Linked DNA regions of Xenopus tropicalis. The protein of the gene in region 7 binds, or shares a complex with, the protein of the main gene of each other region. Links are inferred from orthologs where the notes say so. Each region holds a gene or a part of one and is shown on either strand. Other genes may lie near its edges. The genes, in order: polr2h, taf1d, tbp, taf1b, polr1b, taf1a and taf1c.

Region 1 (4,286 bases), on a different chromosome or scaffold from region 7:
CAGCATTAGAAAGCCAGCTTCTTCATCAAGAGGTAAACACGAGAATCCACTTCAAATCCATGCAGATTGTTAGCATCTCCCTGAAGCCTCATTAGAAGTCCTCCATATGATACATATGCAGACCTAGAGGAAACATGAGCACGTTATGGAACACAGAGAATATTGGAAAGTAGAGGCAACTTGTGTGAAAGAGTAAGGGCACAAGTGAAACATAAGTCCCTTTCAAGTTTACAGAAAAATAAACCCTATTAGTATTGCTTGCTTTCATCCACCATAAATGGTGCTGCTTATTCTGCACAATTCAATTTGGTGTCTATTAAAAAGTGAGAGATGTCAGAGAATTCCCTAATAAATCACCTTCTACTGATTAAACTGTAAATCTGAAACATGCACCCTTATCTTTAAATTCCATCCCACTATATTGTAGACTTTGGGGTATATTTATTATGCTGTGTAAAAAGTGGAGTGAAGCATTACTAGTGATGTTGCTCAGGGCAGCCAATCAGCAATTAGATTTCAACAGTTCAACCAAAGCAAAGCATCTGATTTTGCTGCTATGAGCAACATCACTGGTACTGTTTTACTCCACTTTTTTACACAGCATGATAAATATAACCCTTACTGTGGAGTTCTAGGCTTGCCATATCCATAGATTCCAATAGGAGTAATCCTCTTATTGGATGTGGTCTACAGTTCAGCTTATTGGCATGGTGGAGCCTGGCAATAATTGTTAAAGGAAAAGTAACACTAAAAATTTTTAATTAAAAAATGTATTCTACCCTGCCCCAATAATTGCCCTATCCTGCACACCATTTATTATTTTGAATGCTTTATTAGAAAATACCTGCTAAATCTTGGCTTCCGGTCATTTGAAAGAGGGTGATACAGCGATGCAGGGCAGAATCCACTATGCGACGATCAATCCTCGCATAGTGGATTCTCCCCCCCTAAATTTTAACCCTTTCTGGATGCTAATTAGAATATACAAATTTATGCTAATTATGATTCGGTTCGGCTGGGACAGTGGATTTAGCCGAAACCGAATCCATCAAAAAAAGGCAGGATTTGGGGCGAATCCCGAACCGAATCTGGGATTTGGTGCATCCCTAATAATTTCTGTGTGTTGCCTTTCTGGCCCAGGTGCAAAAACCTTCTTGTCTTTTCATACAAAGAGCACATGCAGGTTTAAGATGAAGAAGCAAGTAACTGGGTAGATGATTTGGATTCTTACAGGCGGGTAGCGGCTTCTGTGGAAGTTTCATCACCCTCTATCCGATAGACCTTGCCGTACATGATGTATTCAAACTGGTCAGCTCTAAAAGAAGAAATGCAATGCATGAGTCACGTGCCTCACAAAGACTATAATTTGGAAACCAACAGGATGAACCATATGTTCCTTTTTATTTATCTGCAGTAATATGATACCTTGAGGGTCGGTCATCAGTAGGATTGTACTCTCCGTCATCCAATGTACCATCCTCATAGAGCGTACTGGCAATAACCAAGCGGAATTTATCCCCTGTGGAAGAAGAGTAAGAGGACACACAATTTAACAACTGTTGTGCAGTTAATCTTCATAAAACACTGGTAATGTGGTAGAATTTAAATACATCTTTGCATTTATGCACCGTGTTTAGTCAATGCAGTGCCAGCCATGCCATCATTTTTTTTTAGAATGGAACCCATAAAGCAGATCTATAGAACCCGCACCATAGATTTTACAAGCTACTTCAGGTATGTGCTACTTACACAACTAGAGGATCAACTCCTATTCACCCTAAAAATCCTCCAGCTTCTGATACCACCCCAACAGCACACTGCACCAAGATATGCATTAACCATAATAAAGTTTGTTTCTGGTCTTACAACTGGCAAGACCCAGAATCAGACAGACTAAATAAACTGTATTTGCAAATGATAGTTGCTAAGGGTTCACCGACACTTGCAGAGTGTTACTTAACAGGTAACAAAAGGCTGAAAACTGTCAGATAAGTCAATTTTGTTTTTGACATTTTAGACGTTGTGTTTGCAAAACATAAATCCACTGAAAATATTATTTTCATTTTATGATATTGTGTTTGTCTCTAAAGTGGACTCCTATTTCAAAAATGACTGCTATAATCATGTCAATGTACAGACAACAAATCCCAACTTACCCAAGTCCACAGGATAAACCTGTATATTAACATCAAGGATCAAATCCATCTTAAAAGACTCACTTTCACAATGTAACCTTGACACTAGAAGAAAAGTCACAACATTAGCAATGTAAAGAAAATAAATGGACCTTTCATGTTTGGAGCAGACATGTTTGGCTTTGCTATGCTGCTTACCTCGATCAAATTTTCTTCCTTCTGGATCAATATCCTTTACATCAAAGATGTCTTCAAACAAAATGCCAGCCATGGCAGATAGCTAGAAAGGTAGACTCTTATTAATATCTGTGCAGGGATATTTTGTTTTCTATAACTGAATGAGATTTCTAATGGTCAGACTGTTTTCCTTAATAATTTGGAGATACGTAAAGATATCCTGACACTATTAAGTTTCTACATTCTTATTGCTTTGAAATTTTGACGCTGATTTTTTTTTTATGTTTCCACGTGCTGTTCTGCATGATTTTGCCGTCACATCCTTCAATTTGGAAAGAACACATAGGAACCCTAGCTTCCGCCCTCCCTTCCCAAATCAATGACAGAAGGGGGAGGGCGGCAATCCAAGTATGTGCATACTGCCCGAAAGTCCCGCTTTTCCTTACAAAACCCGCAGTCCCGTATCACTACTTACTCTTCCCGCAAAGCCTGCCGGCTTCTAGTCTCGTTTACAGAAAATCCCGACGTCAAAGTCTCATCACGCGAGACTGGCGTCACGACTACACGTAACGCAATGACGCATTACGCAGCCGCCTGGGAGTAACGAGCCTACGTAATCGCGTCACACAGTAGGCAGCTGCTAGAAAGTCAGCTTCCAGTTCTACTCCTACTTCTGTTAGAAAAGAGAAAAAGACTATTTTTCATGTCAGTTGCCTTCTGCCACCTCAGCTCCAAATATTTCCTTAGCAGTCATTCATATAGGGAAGGAAGATTTTTTTTTTCCTGGTTGCCACCAGCAAAGTAAAGCCCAGTGAAATTTTAGTAATTTTAGTTTTTTTTGCAGTTATTGATTATTATGTTGGTTATAGTAACAATCAAATGCACAGATCTGCGTTTTACAGACACAATTGTAAAACCATTAGGGTAACAGTTCAGTGTAAAAAATGAAACTGGGTAAAATAGACTGCACAAAATAAATATTCTCAATATTGTTAAGCGAAAATGTAATCTATAAAGGCTGGGGTGAGCAGGTGTCTAGCATAATAGCCGTTAGGGCAGTGGCACACGGAGATTAGTCGCCCATGATAAATCTTCACCATTGCGGGCGACTAATCTCTGAAATGCCTTTCCATCAGCAAGAATGTAAATTGCCTGTGGGATGGTATACACATCGCTTTTGGTCGCACAAGGAACTGTTCAGTTAGTTTGCTTTTGCTCACAAACGAAGGGTCACATTTACTAATCCACGAACGTCCGAATGCGTTTCATTCGTAATGATCGGTATTTTGCGATTTTTTCGGAAATTGACGCAACTTTTTTGTAGCCATTATGACTTGCTCGTAAATTGTCGCAACTTTTTCGTAGCCGTTACGACATGCTCGTAAATTGTCGAGACTTTTTCGTAGCCATTACGACTTGCTCGTAAATTGTCGAGACTTTTTCGTAGCCATTACGACTTGCTCGTAAATTGACGAGACTTTTTCGTAGCCATTACAACTTGCTCGTAAATTCTCGCGACTTTTTCATAGCTGTCGCGCCGAGTACGAAAGTTTCAGATTCTTTCAAGCTTCAGTATTGTGACTTTCCTTGGGCCAGGTTGGAGCTGCAGAGTGCCATTGAGTCCTATGGGAGGCTTCCAAAATCATGCAAAGTCGCAAAGGTTTGCCCGCCATTTACGAGCGCTCAATACGAAAAAGTCGCGACAATATACAAGCAAGTCATAACGGCTACGAAAAAGTCGCAACAATTTACGAGCAAGTCGTAATGGCTACGAAAAAGTTGTGACAATTTACGAGCAAGTCGTAATGGCTACAAAAAAGTTGTGACAATTTCCGAGCAAGTCGTAATGGCTACGAAAAAGTCGCGACAATTTACGAAACAGTCGTGACGGCGACGAAAAAATCGCAAAATGTTCGTTTCCAATCCGATTTTTTCCCATTCGGGATTCGGATTCGTGGATTAGTAAATCAGCCC
Region 2 (4,223 bases), on a different chromosome or scaffold from region 7:
AGTTAAGCTGTTGCTGTCATTATTACCATGTTGTCTGATATGGTACTGAGGGAAAAAAGCATGGTGAGAAAAGGAAGGAAGGGGGGGGGGGGGGGTAAGAGAGAAGGGGAGATAACTTTTTCCAGAAACCAGAAGATGAAGGGGGAAAGAGAATTTTCATAATGGGGGGGGGAACAGAACTTGGAAGTGCTCAGTCGCTCAGCCGCTCCGTTGTTAACCTCATATCGTTTCCAGCAATTAACGTTAGACCTTTTCATGTATATCTGCTTTCTAGTAGTGTTCCTAGTCCAGTTTCATTCATTTATCTTTATATGATTCTAAGAACATAATCCATGGGGACCATGTCGAGACAAATTTGTCTGGTGTCCCCTGGACATTAATAAGTAGTTCCTCCATTCGCATAACATTTCCCATCTCTTTAACCCACTCACTTATTGTAGTACCTTTTTTAACATGTGCACAATAAAGTTATATGTCCCCTTCAAGGAGGATAGAATGTGGGTGTTTTGGTGCCCATGCAAAATAAGCTCTTGTATGGGTATTAAAACACCCAAAAATAGCTAATCATTGCTGATCATGGGAATTGTTGTGTGCACACCACCCCAAAATAGAGGAAGATGCATTTTGTGAATATTTAAAATGTATTTTCCAGCAATTTGATGACAGGGTTACACAATTTCATGTGAACAACAAAGTGCCCAATACGCCATCACCCTTAAACTAAGGGCCAGATTCATTAAAGTACAAATTACAAGTACGATTTGTGAAAATTTGAATTAAATACACAAATTTCTGATGTGCGTTAATTTTGCGAAAAAGTCACGTCGTGCTTGTACGAAAATATTGTGGTACGATCCGAAAGTTATGAAATGTTGGAATCCAAACGATCGTAAACGGCGGGAAAACCTTTCTGAGTTTGAACCTTCAGTGAATGATTTTGGAAGCCTCCCATAGGACTCAATGGCACTCTGCAGCTCCAACCCGGCCCAAGGAAAGCCTCCCATAGGGCTCAATGGCACTCTGCAGCTCCAACCCGGCCCAAGGAAAGCCTCCCATAGGGCTCAATGGCACTCTGCAGCTCCAACCCGGCCCAAGGAAAGCCTCCCATAGGGCTCAATGGCACTCTGCAGCTCCAACCCGGCCCAAGGAAAGCCTCCCATAGGGCTCAATGGCACTCTGCAGCTCCAACCTGGCCCAAGGAAAGTCTCCCATAGGGCTCAATGGCACTCTGCAGCTCCAACCCGGCCCAAGGAAAGCCTCCCATAGGGCTCAATGGCACTCTGCAGCTCCAACCCGGCCCAAGGAAAGTCTCCCATGGGGCTCAATGGCACTCTGCAGCTCCAACCTGGCCCACGGAAAGTCACAATAACGAAGCTTAAATTAGAGCTGGGCGGTATGACCAAAAATTTATATCACGGTATTTTTCAAAATTATATCGGTATCACGGTATTTGACGGTATATAAATAAAAAATAAATAATAAATATTGGTGGCCCCCCCACCCCCCCAACCACAACCCCCCCAACCCCAACCACCCAACCCCAGCCCCCCCAGCCACAACCCCCCCCAGCCCCCAGCCACAACCCCCACAGCCCCCCCAACCCAGCCACAACCCCCCCAACCCCAGCACCAGCACAACCCCCCAGGCCCCAGCCCCAACCCCCCCAACCCCAGCACCAGCACAACCCCAGCACCAGCCACAACCCCAGCACAGCCACAACCCCCCAACCCCAGCACCAGCCACAACCCCAGCACCAGCCACAACCCCCCCAGCCCCAGCCCCAGCCACAACCCCAGCACCAGCCACAACCCCCCCAACCCCAGCACCAGCCACAACCCCCCCAACCCCAGCACCAGCCACAACCCCCCCAACCCCAGCACCAGCCACAACCCCCCCAACCCCAGCACCAGCCACAACCCCCCCAGCCCCAGCCACAGCCACAACCCCAGCCCCACTTACCCAACTTGTGGTTCCTCCAGCGATGCGTCCTAGCGACGTCGCGTGCGCGCCGACGTCACATGCGCGCCGACGTCACGTGCGCACGGGCGCAACCCGGATGTAATTGGATAAAAACTGCAGGAGGCACGCATACCGGTATAGCGGTATGTTCAAAAATCATATCGTTTTTTTTTCAAAAACCGGTATACCGGTTAAACCGGTATACCGCCCAGCACTAGCTTAAATGAATCCGAAACTTTCGTACTTGTTGTGACAAATGCGATTTTGTTGCACAAATTGACACAAAGTACGAAAAAAGTTACTCAAAATACGCAGAAGTTGTAAACTTTAGAAAAAATACAAATTTTTGAAATCGGACCTGTCGTACTTTTAATGAATGTGCCCCTAAGTGATTACAATTGTCTTCCAATCCAAGAGTTACAAAACCCTGAAGTGACAAATTACCTGACGTGACTGTATTTTAAAATACAAATGGTCAGCTCTGTTTTCTATGTCAATAAACTTTTATTAAACTAGGTATAAACTTACCTGTCCAGCAGACGGCCATGATGACTGTTAGTTGGACTTTTGTTTGGCTTACTGGCATCCTTCGTTAATAAATTACAATCCGAATCACTAAAAAGTTCTTGGCTTTGAAGAATATCATAGCTGTGTGCATCTGGTTCACTTCCTTCCTCAAACATTGCTGCGATGGTAGCCATTAGTTCCTAGTGGCTATTCGTACCCCAGTGACATCATTGGCACGTTCCGCACGCCGTCATCTTCACGTTATACACGTGGTGTATGGGCGTATCCAAGTGACGTCCTTGTCACGTGTACACTGCATCATCGTCACGTGATGCACGTGCTGTATGTAAAGCCTATGCCGAGCCCGGGCACGTCATCGTGCGGCGTCATCGTCACGTGGTATACATGGTGTATATAAGTTCCACCTAAAGGCGCGACGGTCTTTCGTGCGTTGTCGAGACGACGGTGGGTTACTCTGTGAGTGAGAGATACAGAGCTCTGGGAAGTCTCTCGTGTTTTGTGAGTGTTGCAAATGCGACTTTTGGTGGGGTGGCCCTGGGAGGTTTGGTCGGGCAGATGTGGCTACTAGAGTGGCTCTAGGCTGTACTACTAGGTGCCCTTCTCTGCATGCCTTTTGCTCCCTGCCTGTGCCCCCTACACTGCCTGCCCTGGGAGGTTTGGTGGGGTATTGGGTGGGGCAGCCCTGAGAGGGTGAGTGGCAAATGTGGCTTTTGGTGCGGTGGCCCTGGGAGGTTTGGTAGGGCAGGTGTGACTTCTAGGCTGTATTAGGTGCCCTTCTCTGCACTCTGTTCCCTGTGTGTTCCCCTACTCAGCCTGCGCCCCCTACTGCTCCCTGTCCTACTCTGTTGTCTGCTCTCTGCCTGTGTGCCCCACTCTGCCTGCCCTCTTCTCCCTGTGTGCCACTACACTGCCTGCCCTGGGAGGTTTGGTGGGGTATTGGGTGGGGCAACCCTGAGAGGGTGAGTGCGGCAAATGTGATTTTTGGTGGGGCTGGTGTTACTACTAGGGTGACTCTAGGCTCTACTACTAGGTGGCCTTCTCTGCCTGCCCTCTTCTCCCTGCCTGTCCCCCCCTAGTCTGCCTGCCCTCTGCTCCCTGCCTGTGCCCCTGTGACTGCTAGCTGACTCTAGGCTCTACTCTGCCTGCACCCACTTACTCTGTCTGCCCTCTGCTCCCTGACTGTGCCCTCTGCCCTACTCTGCTGTCTGCTCTCTGCCTGTGCCCCCCATACTCTGCCTGCCCTGGGAGGTTGGGTGGGGCAGCCCTGAGAGGGTGAGTGTGGCAAATGGGATGTTTGTTGGGGCTGGTACTACTGCCTGTGCCCTCTGCTGTTTTCCTGTCCCCCCCTGCTCTCTGCCTGTGCCTACTAGGGTGACTCTAGGCTCTACTACTAGGTGCCCTACTGCCTGCCCTGGGGGGGTTAGTGGGGTATTGGGTGGGTCAGCCCTGATAGGGTGAGTGTGGCAAATGTGGTGATTGGTGGGACTGGTGTTACTGCTAGAGTACTACTGCCTCTTCCCCCTACTCTGCTTGCCCTCTGCTCCCTGCCTGTGCCCCCTAGTCTGTCTGCCCTCTGTTCCCTGTGTGTACCCTATGTTGCATGTCCTACATTGCCTATGGGAAGTGAGCCTGGTGAAGCTTCTTGTGTATAGTTAGAGTGCCCTAACGCAGCTGTCCCCAACATTTTTCCTCCCGGGGACCGGTGCAAAGAATGAAAGATTTTCTGCGTGCCGATG
Region 3 (4,203 bases), on a different chromosome or scaffold from region 7:
GATAACCCATCCTCATGCCACTTCTAGGCCAGCATAAAAATACTATGCCCAGTGGGTATGGCAGGACAAAATTACAAACAGGAAATCCTTTTCTCATCACACATTTACAGAATTAAGTGCCATACAATGCACCAGTGTGTTCTCCTGAATGACTTTTACAGATAGATAAGAATATTTAGGGCTGTGACAGACGAGATGATTAGTTGCGACTAATCTCCCCGAAATGCCATCCCACCGGCTAGAATGTAAATCGCAGGTGGGATGGCATACGCGGCATCTTTGAGAGGAAACTTCGGCGATGCTTATGCCATCCCACTGGCAATTTACATTCCAGCCAATGGGATAGTATTTCGAGGAGATTAGTTGCTCGCGACAAGGGAGATTTGTCACGTGGCAACTAATCTCCCCGTCTGTCACAGTGAAAGCAACTATTAGGTGAATAAGATACAACAAAGGCTTTTGTCTTACCTTAGGGTTATACTCTGCATTTCGCGCTCTAAGTGCAATTGTTTTCAGATCCAGTTTGCAGCCAAGATTTACAGTGGACACTATGTTCCTGAACAATGTAAAAGCAGTTATTACAAATCCAAATATTTTTGCTCACTGTATTTAAAGGTATTCAGTCATTAATTTTTATTGTGTACTTATATTTCTAAATTACTGTTTACATAGCAAATAATTTACCATTTAAAATTTTATTCTTAAACCAACAAAAGTAATTTTTTAGTTGTAGGCAGCCAGATCAGTGCATTGTGCCCGAGTCTGAGCTTTCAGAAGGAGCCAGAGCTACTGGACTTGAATTTTTTTTTTTTTTTTACTATTGAGTACTGTTCTGATATCTACTGGGAGCTGCTAGCTTGCTAACTTACATTGTTCTGCTGATCGCCTGCAGGGGGATGATGATATCACTCCTATCTGCAGCACAGTAGTAAAGTGTGACTGACCTTTATCAGAGCAAAAGTCACATGACTGTGGCACCCTGGGAAATGAACATGGCTAGCCCCATGGGAAATTTTTAAAAAGTATTACAAAAAAAAAATTTGCACTATTAGTACTTGTAAAAGTGCTAAACTATTTTAATTTCCCAATTCTTTACTTGTTCTATTTTTCACACATGTTGGACAGATATAGGACACATTAAAACTAGGATACTACTGTACATGCTAAATTACATATCAAGACAAGTCTTTCTCCCTCAATAAAGTTTCACTTTAAATATGACATCAATTCAGTCTCAAGAATGTGGTGTAAAAGTCTGAAATGAGGAAACCGTCTGCATCTGTTTCTAGACCTAATATATACACACACCCCTGGCCTGGTAGCTTTTAAATCTAATATGGACTCCTATATTTTTAAGAAATGTAGCTTTTTTTTTTTTTAAACAAATGTAACACTCACAGGGTAAACAAAGGTAATGCAGCACTGTTAAAATACTCATTAGTACCAAAGGTAAAACAAAGATAAGGTCTTTTAATTTTGACAGGCCACACTCAAATGTGGTATAACAAATAAAGTCATTACTGTCTAAAATTAAAATATGCCAGAATATGTTTCCATTTCCTGTATATCTAATATTTACCATTTGCAGAGTTGTATGCTCTATGGCACTACAGAAATGTACAGACAAACATAAGGATTTGTTGACAAGTGTGCAGATACAGATAATCTGACAAATGATATCTGCAAAATGTCCCCCAGGATGATGAGACTTACTGTAGCTGAGGAACAATTCCTGAACTTTCTGATGCAGGGGTAGCAGGAGTAATAGGGGTCATGGGAGTCATTGGGGAGGGGTATAAGGGTGTATTTCCTGGAAGAGGTGCTGTGGTAAGAGTCTGTGGGTGAAACAGTTGTGGGGTTTGGCCTGACCCCTGATTGCCTTGTTGTGATGTAGACTGCTGGGCCTGTTGTTGTTGTCTTTGCTGTTCTTCCAATATTGATAAACTGTTAGTTGTTTGTACAGGTTGAGGGGTCAGACCAGTTCCATAGGGCATCAACGGACTGAAAATGTTAATCCCTGGAGTCAGAGAACCCTACAGAAATAAAAGACAAAAAAAAAAAAAAAATTATAACAAATTTGCTCTCAAACCCACACACAAGTTGAATCACAAGTTAAAATGGGCTTAGTACATGGGGATTTCTTTAATGAAAATCTTATGGTATAGCCCTGCACATGGAGTAGGACAAGCTAAGGGCTCTTACACACAGGTGTTTTCACCCTGCAGTCTCCCGAATTGGATTTCTTCTCCTTTCCACCACAAGGAAGCATAGGATGAAATGCAGCTCTATATTCATTCACATGCATGAATGAGAACGGAACACATCTGTTTTGTGTTCAAGAGCCCTCAGGATGGCGTTCCTCCACCTATTACGACAAGCGCCCCAGCAAGAGAAACATTTGCATTGAAGCCAATATTGGCTGCTGACTTGCATTTCCCCCCTAAGTCAGTTGGAAGCATATTGGCCTGTGTCTCAAGTTTTTCTTCTATTTTTTCATTCTTCAGTATTGTATCTGTTGTCCAAATTAACCACACCCGGTATACCGTATACCCCCCAATTTAGAAAGTGCAAATGAAGTGAATATTACAATGCTTTTAAAGGCATTTTATTTTATGGAGGGGGAATTGTGGTAAAAGGGAAAAAAGGGTTCACACTTACCTGTGGTGATGCCAACCCCTGGAAAGGGGGTATACTGTTGTTTTGATCCATGTTGCGTTAATTGGAAATCCCACTAAGAATAAAACAAAGTGTGCTGTTCCTACAAATTAAAATAAACCATTCCAGCAGCAGACAAAAATCCTATAAAAAGAAGTTAAAAAAAAAAAAAAAAAAAAAACATTAAAACATAGCTTACATTCAGCAGTTAGCACCTGTATTGGTAAATGTGATAAGTTAACAGTAGGACAGAGGGCCATAACAACGAGCCAATGTGGTCCCCGATCCGTGTTGGGGGTGCCCATACACAGGCAGATAAGCTGCCAAATTGGTCTGAAGGAACTAAATTGGCAGCTAGAACCTGCAAGTGTATGACAACCTTATGTGACCATAGCAAGCAGTAAAGACAACACCATGAAGCTAATCTGCTATTAATCCTACTGTATAAATCAGTGACCCAACAACTAGATGACTGTTTAAAAGAACAAATAAAGTAAAAAAAAAAAAAAGATAAGATGTAGGGGATATTTATAATATTAGCAGCAGCAAATTGCTTGAAATGACAAAAAAAGGTATACTAAAATGGTGTAGTCAAATTATACACTTGCAGATGTCACAATGGGATTCCTTCAAGCAAAATTTGTAAAATGACCTGCGTGTGGTTTTAGTTTCTCCAAATCTCTTAAGGGCTCTGGCACACGGGGAGATTAGTCGCCACGACAAATCTCCCTGTTCGCGGGCGATTAATCTCCCCGAAATGCCATCCAACCGGCGAAAATGTCATTCGCTGGTGGGATGGCATACGTGGCGGCACGATTTCAGTGAAATAGCGGAAGTTTCCTCTCAAGGCAACTTCCGCGATTTCACTGAATCGCCGGTGGGATGGCATTTTGGGGAGATTAGTCTCCCGCGAACAAGGAGATTTGTCGCGGGTGACTAATCTCCCCGTGTGCCAGAGCCCTAAGAAGCTATAAAAACCATAAACGTATTCATTCAGATGTAATAATCAAGCCTTGTTATATCTAAATTCTGAGATTTTGTAGTACAATAATACAAATTTTGCTATATGTGCCCCTAAACCTTTTTCTCTGAGGAACCAATTAAACGCACAAATTAGTTTCACAACACAAGGTTGGTTTATGTACATAACTTAGTGCCTAATTTCCATTGTACTCAGTAAGATCATGCCTCAACAGTACAGGGAGCCGTAGGTTTATTGCTGAGTTTAGGCTGTAGCACTACAGAATGAGCTAGAAAATAGTAGAAACTATTAGACTAGATAAAATGGCTCCAAATCAAATTGGTCAGCTCAAGGCCAAAGAAGCAAATCTAAAATTTGCCCAGCTTTAAAGGAGAAGGAAAAGTAAAATGACTGGTAGTAGTAAATATTATTAGGCATCCTCAGGGATTCCAGCCACTTAGTTTACCTGCTTCAGCAACCCCACCCCCTTTCAGGCATAACCTGCCAGGCTTGGGCAAGGGCATGTGCACTACAGAACTCTCATATTTCTGTACCACTCATACCCACCCTAGACTGTACCATTCACA
Region 4 (3,500 bases), on a different chromosome or scaffold from region 7:
CTGAACTAGAAAAATACCCTGATGATTCCCAACAAGCAACCTACAAGCTCTATCTTAAGATCTCCACCTGTTATTTACCTACAAACCAAATCTAAAGATCTATAGCCGCCCCCGACTGTGTATGAGCTACAGATCCAACCTGCTATAATTTACTTCCAAACGTAACACCTTCACACCTTCCAAACCCAGCCCCAGAATCTGGCAAAAATCTACAAAACTAAGCTGAACATTTCCAGTTGAAGACCAAATGCCACGACAGTATATACAGAAGCCACTGACCTGAAGCCGTTATTGAACAATGGATTCAATCTAAAGGTCACACTGTTTATAAACTAAAGGAATTCACCACCACAAAATGTATTGTTTTCAAATAGTAGACCACAAATTTGACTTTTTTCATCGGTTTCATTGCTATTCTATGTTGAGCTGCTCTGCCTATCATACTGACATGGAAGAGCTGGTTAAGGTGCAAATGATTCCTTAAAGACTAAGAAAATCTTACCTGGTTTTACATTTCCTCAGTGAGTTCAACCAATAATGTGTGTTTATTGGTGTAGGTGGTTTCTTGCCTTGGTGCAGAACGGCCTGCAGGCTGTGTCCATGAAAAGAAATCGTGTCTGTGTTTTGCTCTTCCCATTTAAACAAGAAACTTGATGGGCCTTGCTTGCCGGTGTTAGGTGCAGCTCCCGCCAGCTTGCTAAACTGCCTCTGCAGGTTCTCTGACATCTCTGTGCGGAGAGAAACAAAAGGCATCATTCATACAAGTGCGCACTGAGCTGGTAATTACAGGTAACTGTCACCTGTCCGCAGCTAAATTCTGTTATCTTTATGTAACGGCGGCAATTCATTATCGTCTTTAGATGTGAAAATCACACTGTAAAACAATGGGACTCTAACACCGGTGATTAAATTCATATTAGTCATCAAAACAACACATAATAAATAATAAGTACCTCTTTCTTTTATCTTTTATTAAGATAATGTTAAAGGAACAGCAACATCAAAACCATAAACGTGTTTTGAAGTAATTAAAATATAATGTACCGTTGCCCTGCACTGGTAAAACTGATCTGTTTGCTTCAGAAACACTACAATTGTGTATATAAATAAACTGCTGTGTATCAATGGGGGCAATTGAAATAGGGCTAAACTACAATAACTACTTAGTTGTTATAAATCTTTATGCTTTTAGCTTAAGAAGGCTGAAGGTAAAAAAGAATGGGCCACAACTGTGCGTGAAGAAAAAACCAACCGCCATGACAATAAAGAAAACTATAATGATTAATGTTGTGCATAATTAAATGGATGCTTTACCTGAAATTAATTTACTATGATTTGGACAATGGTATCCTATTTGAAATTGGTCTTATTTGTATTTATGTATTTATTTGTATTTCAACTTTATATTCTGTGGCTCTCCAGCTTGGAATTTTAAAAGCCATATGGTTCTAGGGTCCCATTTACCACAGCAAACGGGCAGAGGCATGGAAATCAGAATAGAAGCTGGATATGAAAATACCTCTATAAAAAGAGAAGGAATAAAAAGCAACAATACAAGTGTATTCATAGAGCATCAGTTTCATGGCTACCAGGGTCGGTGACCCCACCAACCAGTAAGAAGCCACCTCAAAGTTCCACACAGTGCAATATAGGCACCCAAAAGCCTGATCCTACGGCGGCAGCTGTAGGTGGAAAGCCCCTGGATGCCTGTATATAAAATAAAAACATACTTGTGGCTAAATCGAGTGAAAGAGCTTGCTAAAGAGCTACCATGAGAAAGGTCACTGGCTGTGCACTAGGTAAACAGAACACATGCACACACACATATATATATAATACAGTATACAAAAATAAAACAGGTATACTCACGTTTCCTCTTCTGAAGCAAAGATTTAGTAGTTTGGGAGTAATACAATGGACAATCACTTTTCCACATGAACCTGATGTTAAAAAGCAGAAAACAAATCAGCATGCATAAAAAAAAACATTTTATTTTGTTAGGTCTCCTACCGGGACAATGTAACAAATACTGTACTCCTATGTACTGCCTCTGCGGCCCATATACAGTATACTGCCAGGTTAGGTTGTTTGACAAAGCGTATCAATAAAATAATTACTATTTTAATAACCAGACACTCTCTTTATAATGCCCGTGTTGGCCACAGCAAGAGCACCTAATCTGCGTAGTTGCAATGGGCACGATTCCTCTTGGCAACGTGCTCCTACCAAGTACTAATAGTGGCATCTCATAGCCACAGTATTGTCTGTGCCATTCATGACTGCTATTTGCAGTAGCCTTGTAGCAGGAGCCCAGAAGCAGCTTTTAGTTCTGCAGAGCAGAAAGGGAAATTGTTTTCCTTTTTACTCTTCCTCTACTATAATTTTGAATATATTGAATTTGGTTCATTTTGGGGGACAAAACCCCCATGATAGGAGCGCATAGGTATGGGACCTATAATCCAAAATGCTTGGGACCTGGGGTTTCCCGGATAAGGGGTTATTCCGTAATTTGGATCAACATACAATTTAAGCATTAATTAAACCCAATAGGACTGTTTCCCCTTCAATAAGGATGAATGATATCTTAGTTGGGATCAAGTACAGGTACTGTTTTATTATTACAGAGAAAAGGGAATCATTTAACCATGAAATAAACCCAATAGGGCTGTTCTGCCCCCAATAAGGGGTAATTATATCTTAGTTGGGATCAAGTACAGGTACTGTTTTATTATTACAGAGAAAAGGGAATCATTTAACCATTAAATAAACCCAATAGGACTGTTCTGCCCCCAATAAGGGGTAATTATATCTGAGTTGGGATCAAGTACAGGTACTGTTTTATTATTACAGAGAAAAGGGAATCATTTAACCATTAAATAAACCCAATAGGGCTGTTCTGCCCCCAATAAGGGGTAATTATATCTGAGTTGGGATCAAGTACAGGTACTGTTTTATTATTACAGAGAAAAGGGAATCATTTAACCATTAAATAAACCCAATAGGACTGTTCTGCCCCCAATAAGGGGTAATTATATCTTAGTTGGGATCAAGTACAGGTACTGTTTTATTATTACAGAGAAAAAGGAATAATTTAACCATGAAATAAACCCAATAGGGCTGTTCTGCCCCCAATAAGGAGTAATTATATCTTAGTTGGGATCAAGTACAGGTACTGTTTTATTATTACAGAGAAAAGGGAATCATTTATCCATGAAATAAACCCAATAGGGCTGTTCTGCCCCCAATAAGGGGTAATTATATCTTAGTTGGGATCAAGTACAAGGTACTGTTTTATTATTACAGAGAAAAAGGAAATCTTTTTAAAAAATTAGACTTATTTGCTTATAATGGGGTCTATGGGAGATGGCCTTTCCCTAATTCGAAACTTTCTGGATAACGGATCACATAACTGTATAATCCATCTGAGGGTTAAAACAAAACATGCCAGAATACTGTAGATTTCCAGGAGATAGCCATATTACTGACAGCTAATTAAGCTA
Region 5 (3,986 bases), on a different chromosome or scaffold from region 7:
TAGAAATCCTCACAAAAGGGGTGGGGCGTGCACCTATAAATTAGAGAGCTGAAAGAGGAAGCTGGCAGTGTAAGGTCAAGGCCGCCGCTCCCTATAAGCAGAGTACTCAGTCTGCATAGGGCACCAACTCCCAGGGGGGCACCATCCCAGCTGCTCCAAAAAAAACAAACCATTTTTATATATTATAACATACCCCCCAACACTGTCCCGCTGGTTTTTATAGCGCATCCCGCTGTCCCGGATAGTTCAATCAATCTATGGGGGCTATTGGGGGCACTGTGTGTGGGGCCCCTATAGTAGGTGTTTTTTTTTTATTTTATTTTTACTTCCGTAATATTTGGGGGAGGGGGCACAAAAGTACATTTCTGCTTAGGGCACCCATTTGGCCAGCAGCGGCCCTGTGTAAGGTTGTGGGCATGGAGGGTGACCGGACGCACCCAACCCGCAAATGATGTGCCGAAGTCATCCCAAACCCACCCGACCCACACATCACTACTATGCAGGATATCGATTCTATATGTGGCCAGTATTAAATAGGGTGAGGAGGCAACTCAACTGGGTTTGGTGACCAAACATTGATTTGTTTCTTATTTAAAATAGGCAAAAAGAATGTTCAGCTCATGCCCTATTCACTGAACTCATATTGCAATGCACCCCTAGACTATAACAAGTCAGACTGTGTATATAGAGGGACAACTAGCTTGTAGCCTGTAGTTTTTGCTGAATAAACCCTGCCAGATAGCTACTGATGGGAGGGTGCTGGTAGTTGTAGTGCATTAGCTTTATCTGCATGTTATGAAGAGCTTCATAAATAAAAAAAATTATATTATACCCCACCTCCCCATTCTATATGCAAGTTACTTGAACTACTGTCTACCCCCCTCCACTCCCCTTTAGAAAGTTTCCTGTGGGAACGACCAATACAGGCACATTAAGTGAAGGCGATATAGCTGAACATAGCCATTTAAAAGGGAAAGTTAACACTGCCAGAATGAATTGATTTTAACCTGACGCTGTGGACATTGGGTAGCAGTGCATACAGAATAGAACCATACGTGCTTGTGTACATACACCAAGGGGCTTCTAAGAGCGACTGCTGCTCAGCTTCCAATCCAACCCGGCAAGAGTCCAGGCACCAGCAGAACAGCTGTGACATGTCCCGGAAGTGCGTCCCAAGTAGGAAGTAGGCTGCAGCGCTACACGTGTGGCTAGTCCCGCCCCTTCCCCTGCACATGGGCTGCTTGCCTGGCGCTCAGGATTCTCAGGGCTAACTGACTGCCACTTACTGCAGGATGGAAACGGACACTAAGTGGCAAGCGCTGCTCAGGGAGCCTAGCCTGGGCAAACTTACCAGTCCCGACTATGGGATTCCCGGGGAGAGCCAGCACCCTCCTCTGCAGGATATCACTCGGGCTCATATCGACTCCTTCAACCAAGCAATGACAGAGGGGCTGAGTCTGGCGGTGCAGGTGAGGGAAGTTGGGGTCTAGGAAGGGGTGGTATAGCTGCTGATGTGGGTCTGTATAGTAGAGATGTCTGAGATCAAAAAGCAGATACACATGTGAGCACTCCCTGGGACTCTGCACTGCCCTGCCATTGATCTCTCTCCTGAACCTCCCCTTAGTATTGTTATAGTATCAATATGCACTAATGTACATATACAGCACAAGCCTTTCTCAGAATAACACAACCCTGTTAAACCACTAGTAAAGGAAGCATTGATGATATCATAGTAACATAGTAAGTTAACTTGAAAAAAGACATACGTCCATTACGTTCAACCATAATGCCTATATATAACCTGCCTAACTGCTAGTAGATCCAGAGGAAGGCAAAAAACCCCATCTGAAGCTTCTCTAAATTGCCTCAGAGGGGAAGAAATCCTTCCTGACTCCAAGATGGCAATCGGACCAGTCCCTGGATCAACCTGTACTAAGACCTATCTCCCATAACCCTGTATTCCCTCACTTGTACTGAGAGCTATCCCCCCAAACCCCTGTATTCCCTCACTTGTACTGAGAGCTATCTCCCATAACCCTGTATTCCCTCACTTGTACTGAGAGCTATCTCCCATAACCCTGTATTCCCTCACTTGTACTGAGAGCTATCTCCCATAACCCTGTATTCCCTCACTTGTACTGAGAGCTATCTCCCATAACCCTGTATTCCCTCACTTGTACTGAGAGCTATCTCCCATAACCCTGTATTCCCTCACTTGTACTGAGAGCTATCTCCCCTACCCCTGTATTCCCTCACTTGTACTGAGAGCTATCCCCCCTACCCCTGTATTCCCTCACTTGTACTGAGAGCTAAGACCTATCTCCCAATAACCCTGTATTCCCTCACTTGTACTGAGAGCTATCTCCCATACCCCTGTATTCCCTCACTTGTACTGAGAGCTAAGACCTATCTCCCAATAACCCTGTATTCCCTCACTTGTACTGAGAGCTAAGACCTATCTCCCATAACCCTGTATTCTCTCACTTGTACTGAGAGCTATCTCCCATAACCCTGTATTCTCTCATTTGCTAAGAAGCCATCCAGCCCCTTTTTGAAGCTATCTAATGTATCAGCCAGCACAACTGATACAGGGAGGGAATTTCACAGCTCTCACAGTAAAAAATCCTTTCCGAATATTTAAATGGAACCTCCCTTCTTCTAAACGGAGTGGGTGCCCTCGTGTCCGTTGGAAGGACCTACTGGTAAATAAAGCATCAGAGAGGTTATTATACGATCCCCTTATATATTTATACATAGTTATCATGTCACCCCTTAAGCGCCTCTTCTCCAGTGTAAACAGACCCAACTTGGCCAGTCTTTCTTCATATCAGTGACATAATTTCTATGAGACACAGTATGTGATGTAAAAACTATAATAAATAAGTCCCTATGTATGTATAATATAGCGCAAAGTTCAATTCCAATTTATGATGTGTATTTTCACAACAATGATACAAATACACCTGTGACCATTCACAAACAACTGCAGTGTTGAAGATTTTCTAGAGAATTTATGCCACAAAGAAATGAGGTATGTGAAATGTTAGCATGGAGGAGGTGACGTAGGTAATGAGATGCAAAAGTTGATGCTCTCTCCTTGATAAATTGGCAAATAGTCACTGGAAAAATTTCACCTGGTAAAATAATGTGAATAGAATATTCCCCAAATTGAAATTGAGTGAAATTAATTTACCAAAATGTGGTGTACTCTCCTGATTTAATAAATTGACGATGTTGTGGCTTATTTTCACGTTGGCTGAAAATAGTCAAAATTGTAAATTTCACACTGCAGTTAATATGCCCTATAGAGAAAAAGAAACTAGAACTATATATTTACTAACCAAAGCACCAGTTTTATGCTCTAAGTCAGTGCTTGCCAATTATTTCCATATAGTGGGCCAGATATTTACTTTTAGCATATTTGTTGGCCGCATTGAGATGTTATCCAAAGATGCCAGTTGGGTTTTCTTGGAGGGCCACATCTTGTCTGTGGGCGTTCAGTTGGCGGCCCTGCTCTAACTAGTTCCTGGTCAGTCAGTAGCCATACCCATAACCCACACCTGGGCTGAGATTCACAGTCTGCCGTGCTATTACTGAGGCCCAAACAGCCTTCGACAGGCCCAATAGTATGAGTTAGTTGCAGGATACTGCAGCGTCTCTGGTTTTGCTGAAACACTGAAAGTGGCAGTCCAGGCCTGACATAGCCCATAGCACATAGGCCTGGCTTTCAGACTTTTATAGTTTTAAGACAGTGATGCAGATTTGGTCAGGCTTCCTTTAGAGCATAATTTTAGAGATATAACTTTTAAAGGAGTTTTTCACCTTTGAATTTATTTTTGATATGATGTCAACATTGATAATCTAAGGGGCACATTTATCAAAGTACAATTGTCTCCTACTTATTTTTTCTAAGTTTTTGAACTGTACGTATTTTCATCGATTTCTTCCCGTACTGTGCGTCATAATTTACGCAACAATATTGTATT
Region 6 (2,623 bases), on a different chromosome or scaffold from region 7:
ACAATCGATCATTTTCTCTCTGCAGCATGAAATAAGCACATACAGTTTAGAATGGCTGAAATACCCTGCAGGCAGGAAACCAAATTCCTCCACATGAGCGCTTCCAAATGCTCTTCCACTAAGAAGCAGCTGTAGTTTTTCGGCACGTAAAGAACACAATCTGGCGCTGGGTCCGTCGTTCCACTAAGGAACAGCTGTGATTCTTCAGAAACGTCTTCATGGCTCTCACCTTTTTCATCTTGGTTTTTCTACCGAGGCGACAAACAGCTTTATAATAGGCGCAGCCTGTAATCAACACAAAGCGGTTTCTTTAATGGATAACCCCCTTCCTTTTAAAATTCACGTGTGTTCCTGGGAAATCCGGCGAGAAAATAACTGGCTATAAAGGCAGGGGGCAGACATATTTTTATTGACTAGTTTAAGACTTAATTAAAATAAGGAATGTGAGGGAGTTGCGCAATGCGGCTATAAACTCAATTACAGGCATTAAGGGGTTGCTCGCATGTCGTACGGTAACTTCTTTACTATCCTTTTTATGGCAAAGGGAAAATTAGGGGGCGGGGCAGAGAGGCATTGGTCATGGCTGCCGGGATCGCAGGGGCCCTTTTGGGGTAGAAATGTAGAAAGATGTTGTATACATTTGTTCTGTACTTGTGTTAGTTCTCATGCCCACACCCATGGGCACCCCAAGGGAACTGGGGGATATGGAGATTGTTCAGCAGATATTAGACATTTCAGAACAACTACAGCCCAACCTGCCCAAGCATCTCCATGCATAGCATCAGCATAGGTATTCTCCTGTACTTGGCACAATTCAGCAGGAACAGCCCCCTAAGTTTGCTCATAGCCTGTACAGAGAGATACCATAAAACTATGCAGCATAGGGAATCCCCTGTACTAAGCACAATTCAGCAGGAACAGCCCCCTAAGTTTGCTCATAGCCTGTACAGAGAGATACCATAAAACTATGGCAGCATAGGGATTCCCCTGTACTAAGCACAATTCAGCAGGAACAGCCCCCTAAGTTTGCTAATAGCCTGTACAGAGAGATACCATAAAACTATGGCAGTATAGGGATTCCCCTGTACTAAGTACAATTCAGCAGGAACAGCCCCCTAAGTTTGCTAATAGCCTGTACAGAGAGATACCATAAAACTTTGGCAGCCCAAATATAGAGGAGAGCACCATAAAGCAGAATTCTGCTAAAATGCTATTTATTTCAGACCAAAATACACAATATGTTTCGGGCAATGTGACGCCCTTTATCACTTGATAAAGGGCGTCACATTGTCTGAAACATGTTGTGTATTTTGGTCTGAAACAAATACCATTTTAGCAGAATTCTGCTTTATGGTGCTCTCCTCTATATTTGGATTGTATTGAAGGGCTTAGCGGTGTGCCTTGCGAGGATTGATGCATCAAGCCTGAGTAAGAGGCTGTGCGGTTGAATACCTATTTGTTAAAACTATGGCAGCATAGGGATTCCCCTGTACTAAGCACAATTCAGCGGGAACAGCCCCCTAAGTTTGCTCATAGCCTGTACAGAGAGATACGATAATGCTATATTAGGACAGAAAGCTAGTGTATTTTGCAGAATTAATCAGGAAAACAAAAGGTTATAGTGGCCCTAAGAGAACAAATATACTTGCCCCCAGTTAGAGAGCCAATACGAATGGTGGAGAGTTACCTGGTCCTAATAAAATCCCAGCAGCCAAGGCTTTCTTCATTGCCAGTTTCGGGATTTCCTTCCATTCTTTTTTTGCATGGAACTCAGTAAAATGGTAAAGAGGCCACCAGCTGCGTCTTGATTTCCACTGATCCTCAATCCACAAGTCCTGATTTCTGGAGAGAAAATGGGACAAACAAACAGTGGGTAAAACACCAGACTCAATTCACAAAAATAGTATATATCAAAGCTGCTGAAGGATGCTGGGTATTATCAATTTGCTTCCTTCTAACATGACACTGGGTAAAGGTGAGCAGGCCATTTACCTTTTCAGACTTGTCTTGAGCCGCTTTCCTATTTGCCGCCAAGCTTCCATACTGTACCCCCAACCGGAAAAATCCAGGAGATCAAACAGAACTTTCAGCGCGAGTTGGTGATGCTCTTCTGACTCTGAGACCAACAGAAACACATGCAATCAGTAGAAGAAAAGATTCTTTCATCCCATCATTCCTCAATGGTTAACTGAAAGATACTGTATGTAACATTACAAACTGGCCCAAGGCCCTTTCTCAGCATGTGTGGCCTGATTGGCCAATTAAGATCGGACGCAACTGCATATTCTGCCTCCAACTGTACATTAGTTGTAATTTCTAGGGGGTCCAGGCCAGTAATGGTATCCAATATGCCATGCAAGTCTTTATTCCATAGTAACCCCAGAAAAGTCAGTAAGCACACTTTATAGTAGGCCTCACTTACCAACCCCTTTGGTGCAAAGGCAAAATTGTCCCCTTTATAGCCCACGCCCAGAGCAGTTGTGCCAGTAGGATTGGCAGTTCAAGGTGAAGAGCTGTTGGGCACAAGGCACAGTACAGTACTACCGAGCCTGCAAGTCTGATTGAAATCCCTGCTGGTGGGAAACCCTGCAGTTGAATTGTTTTGCTTGTAAATTTGTAAAAA
Region 7 (3,500 bases):
AGTAATGGGGCAGCAGTGCGGGTATGGGGTACTGATACCTGGGTAGTAATGAGGCAGTGTGGGGTACTAATACCTGGGTAGTAATGGGCAGTGTGGGTATGGGGTACTGATACCTGGGTAATAATGAGGCAGTGTGGGTATGGGGTACTGATACCTGGGTAATAATGAGGCAGTGTGGGTATGGGGGTACTGATACCTGGGTAGTAATGGGGCAGTATGGGGTACGGATACCTGGGTAGTAATGGGGCAGTGTGGGTATGGGGTACGGATACCTGGGTAGTAATGGGGCAGTGCGGGGTACGGATACCTGGGTAGTAATGGGGCAGTGTGGGTATGGGGTACTGATACCTGGGTAGTAATGGGGCAGTGTGGGGTACTGATACCTGGGTAGTAATGGGCAGTGTGGGGTACTGATACCTGGGTAGTAATGAGGCAGTGTGGGTATGGGGTACTGATACCTGGGGTAGTAATGAGGCAGTGTGGGGTACTGATACCTGGGTAGTAATGAGGCAGTGTGGGTACTGATACCTGGGTAGTAATGAGGCAGTGTGGGGTACTGATACCTGGGTAGTAATGAGGCAGTGTGGGGTACTGATACCTGGGTAGTAATGAGCAGTGTGGGGGTACTGATACCTGGGTAGTAATGAGGCAGTGTGGGGTACTGATACCTGGGTAGTAATGGGGCAGTGTGGGGTACTGATACCTGGGTAGTAATGGGGCAGTGTGGGGTACTGATACCTGGGTAGTAATGGGGCAGTGTGGGGTACTGATACCTGGGGTAGTAATGGGGCAGTGTGGGTATGGGGTACTGATACCTGGGTAGTAATGAGGCAGTGTGGGGGTACTGATACCTGGGTAGTAATGGGCAGTGTGGGGTACTGATACCTGGGTAGTAATGGGGCAGTGTGGGGTACGGATACCTGGGTAGTAATGGGGCAGTGCGGGGTACGGATACCTGGGTAGTAATGGGGCAGTGCGGGGTACGGATACCTGGGTAGTAATGGGGCAGTGCGGGGTACGGATACCTGGGTAGTAATGGGGCAGTGCGGGGTACTGATACCTGGGTAGTAATGGGGCAGTGCGGGTATGGGGTACTGATACCTGGGTAGTAATGGGGCAGTGTGGGGTACTGATACCTGGGTAGTAATGGGGCAGTGTGGGGTACTGATACCTGGGTAGTAATGGGGGCAGTGCGGGGTACTGATACCTGGGTAGTAATGGGGCAGTGCGGGTATGGGGTACTGATACCTGGGTAGTAATGGGGCAGTGTGGGGTACTGATACCTGGGTAGTAATGGGGCAGTGCGGGGTACTGATACCTGGGTAGTAATGGGGCAGTGCGGGTATGGGGTACTGATACCTGGGTAGTAATGGGGCAGTGTGGGGTACTGATACCTGGGTAGTAATGGGGCAGCAGTGTGGGTATGGGGTACTGATACCTGGGTAGTAATGAGGCAGTGTGGGGTACTAATACCTGGGTAGTAATGGGGCAGTGTGGGTATGGGGTACTGATACCTGGGTAATAATGAGGCAGTGTGGGTATGGGGTACTGATACCTGGGTAATAATGAGGCAGTGTGGGTATGGGGTACGGATACCTGGGTAGTAATGGGGCAGTATGGGGTACGGATACCTGGGTAGTAATGGGGCAGTGTGGGTATGGGGTACGGATACCTGGGTAGTAATGGGGCAGTGCGGGGTACGGATACCTGGGTAGTAATGGGGCAGTGTGGGTATGGGGTACTGATACCTGGGTAGTAATGGGGCAGTGTGGGGTACTGATACCTGGGTAGTAATGGGGCAGTGTGGGGTACTGATACCTGGGTAGTAATGAGGCAGTGTGGGGTACTGATACCTGGGTAGTAATGAGGCAGTGTGGGGTACTGATACCTGGGTAGTAATGAGGCAGTGTGGGGTACTGATACCTGGGTAGTAATGAGGCAGTGTGGGGTACTGATACCTGGGTAGTAATGAGGCAGTGTGGGGTACTGATAGCTGGGTAGTAATGAGGCAGTGTGGGGTACTGATACCTGGGTAGTAATGGGGCAGTGTGGGGTACTGATACCTGGGTAGTAATGGGGCAGTGTGGGGTACTGATACCTGGGTAGTAATGGGCAGTGTGGGTATGGGGTACTGATACCTGGGTAGTAATGGGGCAGTGTGGGGTACTGATACCTGGGTAGTAATGGGGCAGTGTGGGGTACTGATACCTGGGTAGTAATGAGGCAGTGTGGGGTACTGATACCTGGGTAGTAATGGGGCAGTGTGGGGTACTGATACCTGGGTAGTAATGGGGCAGTGTGGGGTACTGATACCTGGGTAGTAATGGGGCAGTGTGGGTATGGGGTACTGATACCTGGGGTAGTAATGAGGCAGTGTGGGGTACTGATACCTGGGTAGTAATGAGGCAGTGTGGGGTACTGATACCTGGGTAGTAATGGGGCAGTGTGGGGTACTGATACCTGGGTAGTAATGAGGCAGTGTGGGGTACTGATACCTGGGTAGTAATGGGGCAGTGTGGGGTACTGATACCTGGGTAGTAATGGGGCAGTGTGGGGTACTGATACCTGGGTAGTAATGGGGCAGTGTGGGGTACTGATACCTGGGTAGTAATGGGGCAGTGTGGGTATGGGGTACTGATACCTGGGTAGTAATGGGGCAGTGTGGGGTACTGATACCTGGGTAGTAATGGGGCAGTGTGGGGTACTGATACCTGGGTAGTAATGGGGCAGTGTGGGTATGGGGTACTGATACCTGGGTAGTAATGGGGCAGTGTGGGTATGGGGTACTGATACCTGGGTAGTAATGGGGCAGTGTGGGGTACTAATACCTGGGTAGTAATGGGGCAGTGTGGGTATGGGGTACTGATACCTGGGTAGTAATGAGGCAGTGTGGGTATAGGGTACTGATACCTGGGTAGTAATGGGGCAGTATGGGGTACTGATACCTGGGTAGTAATGGGGCAGTGTGAGTATGGGGTACTGATACCTGGGTAGTAATGGGGCAGTGCGGGGTACGGATACCTGGGTAGTAATGGGGCAGTGTGGGTATGGGGTACTGATACCTGGGTAGTAATGGGGCAGTGTGGGTATGGGGTACCGATACCTGGGTAGTAATGAGGCAGTGGGCTGGGTTCTCCCCTCTCAGGCACTGGGGTAAAATGACTCTCTCTCCTCTCTGACACGAAGCTTCTTGTCCAATATGGAAAAGGTCCAACCCCTGAGAATTAGGGGCCTGAGAGCGAGAGAAATAGAGATTAAATAGAGCAAATTTGGCCCCAGGGGGTAAGAACCTTTCATACAGCGAATCTGCCCCAGCCCATTGGCACCATTAAGAGTTTGCCTCTCACACTGACCACTTTAGGTGCCAGATGGGGGGGTATATTTGAGGCTTTGGTGGGGAAGGAAAGATACCCTCATACCCTCATGTCCACACACTGAACTCCTGTCCTGTCTGCGTAGCTCAGCACCCGCGGGTGGGAGGTGTAGTCGCTCCATCTCCA

The links.
Region 1: taf1c (region 7) and polr2h share a complex: the UniProt entries of both Homo sapiens proteins name them as parts of the pol I pre-initiation complex. The link is inferred for Xenopus tropicalis from reciprocal best matches to the Homo sapiens genes TAF1C and POLR2H.
Region 2: taf1c (region 7) and taf1d share a complex: the UniProt entries of both Homo sapiens proteins name them as parts of the transcription factor SL1/TIF-IB complex. The link is inferred for Xenopus tropicalis from reciprocal best matches to the Homo sapiens genes TAF1C and TAF1D.
Region 3: taf1c (region 7) and tbp share a complex: the UniProt entries of both Homo sapiens proteins name them as parts of the transcription factor SL1/TIF-IB complex. The link is inferred for Xenopus tropicalis from reciprocal best matches to the Homo sapiens genes TAF1C and TBP.
Region 4: taf1c (region 7) and taf1b share a complex: the UniProt entries of both Homo sapiens proteins name them as parts of the transcription factor SL1/TIF-IB complex. The link is inferred for Xenopus tropicalis from reciprocal best matches to the Homo sapiens genes TAF1C and TAF1B.
Region 5: taf1c (region 7) and polr1b share a complex: the UniProt entries of both Homo sapiens proteins name them as parts of the pol I pre-initiation complex. The link is inferred for Xenopus tropicalis from reciprocal best matches to the Homo sapiens genes TAF1C and POLR1B.
Region 6: taf1c (region 7) and taf1a share a complex: the UniProt entries of both Homo sapiens proteins name them as parts of the transcription factor SL1/TIF-IB complex. The link is inferred for Xenopus tropicalis from reciprocal best matches to the Homo sapiens genes TAF1C and TAF1A.

What each region holds. Positions count from the first base shown.
Region 1 is NC_030681.2:99,527,616-99,531,901, forward strand, and holds the start of polr2h (DNA-directed RNA polymerases I, II, and III subunit RPABC3), read right to left. Parts: upstream 2,801-4,286; 5' UTR 2,788-2,800; intron 2,416-2,787; 5' UTR 2,407-2,415; coding exon 2,334-2,406; intron 2,241-2,333; coding exon 2,157-2,240; intron 1,520-2,156; coding exon 1,426-1,519; intron 1,316-1,425; coding exon 1,232-1,315; intron 124-1,231; coding exon 6-123; 3' UTR 1-5. UniProt on the Homo sapiens protein: DNA-dependent RNA polymerase catalyzes the transcription of DNA into RNA using the four ribonucleoside triphosphates as substrates.
Region 2 is NC_030678.2:100,292,372-100,296,594, forward strand, and holds the start of taf1d (TATA box-binding protein-associated factor RNA polymerase I subunit D), read right to left. Parts: upstream 2,801-4,223; 5' UTR 2,661-2,800; coding exon 2,488-2,660; intron 1-2,487. UniProt on the Homo sapiens protein: Component of the transcription factor SL1/TIF-IB complex, which is involved in the assembly of the PIC (preinitiation complex) during RNA polymerase I-dependent transcription.
Region 3 is NC_030681.2:50,706,278-50,710,480, reverse strand, and holds the start of tbp (TATA-box-binding protein), read right to left. Parts: upstream 2,801-4,203; 5' UTR 2,710-2,800; coding exon 2,659-2,709; intron 2,034-2,658; coding exon 1,714-2,033; intron 557-1,713; coding exon 469-556; intron 1-468. UniProt on the Homo sapiens protein: The TFIID basal transcription factor complex plays a major role in the initiation of RNA polymerase II (Pol II)-dependent transcription.
Region 4 is NC_030681.2:138,048,867-138,052,366, reverse strand, and holds part of taf1b (TATA box-binding protein-associated factor RNA polymerase I subunit B), read right to left. Parts: intron 1,941-3,500; coding exon 1,870-1,940; intron 729-1,869; coding exon 503-728; intron 1-502. UniProt on the Homo sapiens protein: Component of RNA polymerase I core factor complex that acts as a GTF2B/TFIIB-like factor and plays a key role in multiple steps during transcription initiation such as pre-initiation complex (PIC) assembly and postpolymerase recruitment events in polymerase I (Pol I) transcription.
Region 5 is NC_030681.2:38,728,151-38,732,136, forward strand, and holds the start of polr1b (DNA-directed RNA polymerase I subunit RPA2), read left to right. Parts: upstream 1-1,186; 5' UTR 1,187-1,292; coding exon 1,293-1,469; intron 1,470-3,986. UniProt on the Homo sapiens protein: Catalytic core component of RNA polymerase I (Pol I), a DNA-dependent RNA polymerase which synthesizes ribosomal RNA precursors using the four ribonucleoside triphosphates as substrates.
Region 6 is NC_030681.2:9,693,682-9,696,304, reverse strand, and holds part of taf1a (TATA box-binding protein-associated factor RNA polymerase I subunit A), read right to left. Parts: intron 2,117-2,623; coding exon 1,993-2,116; intron 1,843-1,992; coding exon 1,688-1,842; intron 286-1,687; coding exon 119-285; 3' UTR 1-118. UniProt on the Homo sapiens protein: Component of the transcription factor SL1/TIF-IB complex, which is involved in the assembly of the PIC (pre-initiation complex) during RNA polymerase I-dependent transcription.
Region 7 is NC_030677.2:215,221,027-215,224,526, reverse strand, and holds part of taf1c (TATA box-binding protein-associated factor RNA polymerase I subunit C), read right to left. Parts: coding exon 3,420-3,500; intron 3,233-3,419; coding exon 3,104-3,232; intron 1-3,103. UniProt on the Homo sapiens protein: Component of the transcription factor SL1/TIF-IB complex, which is involved in the assembly of the PIC (pre-initiation complex) during RNA polymerase I-dependent transcription.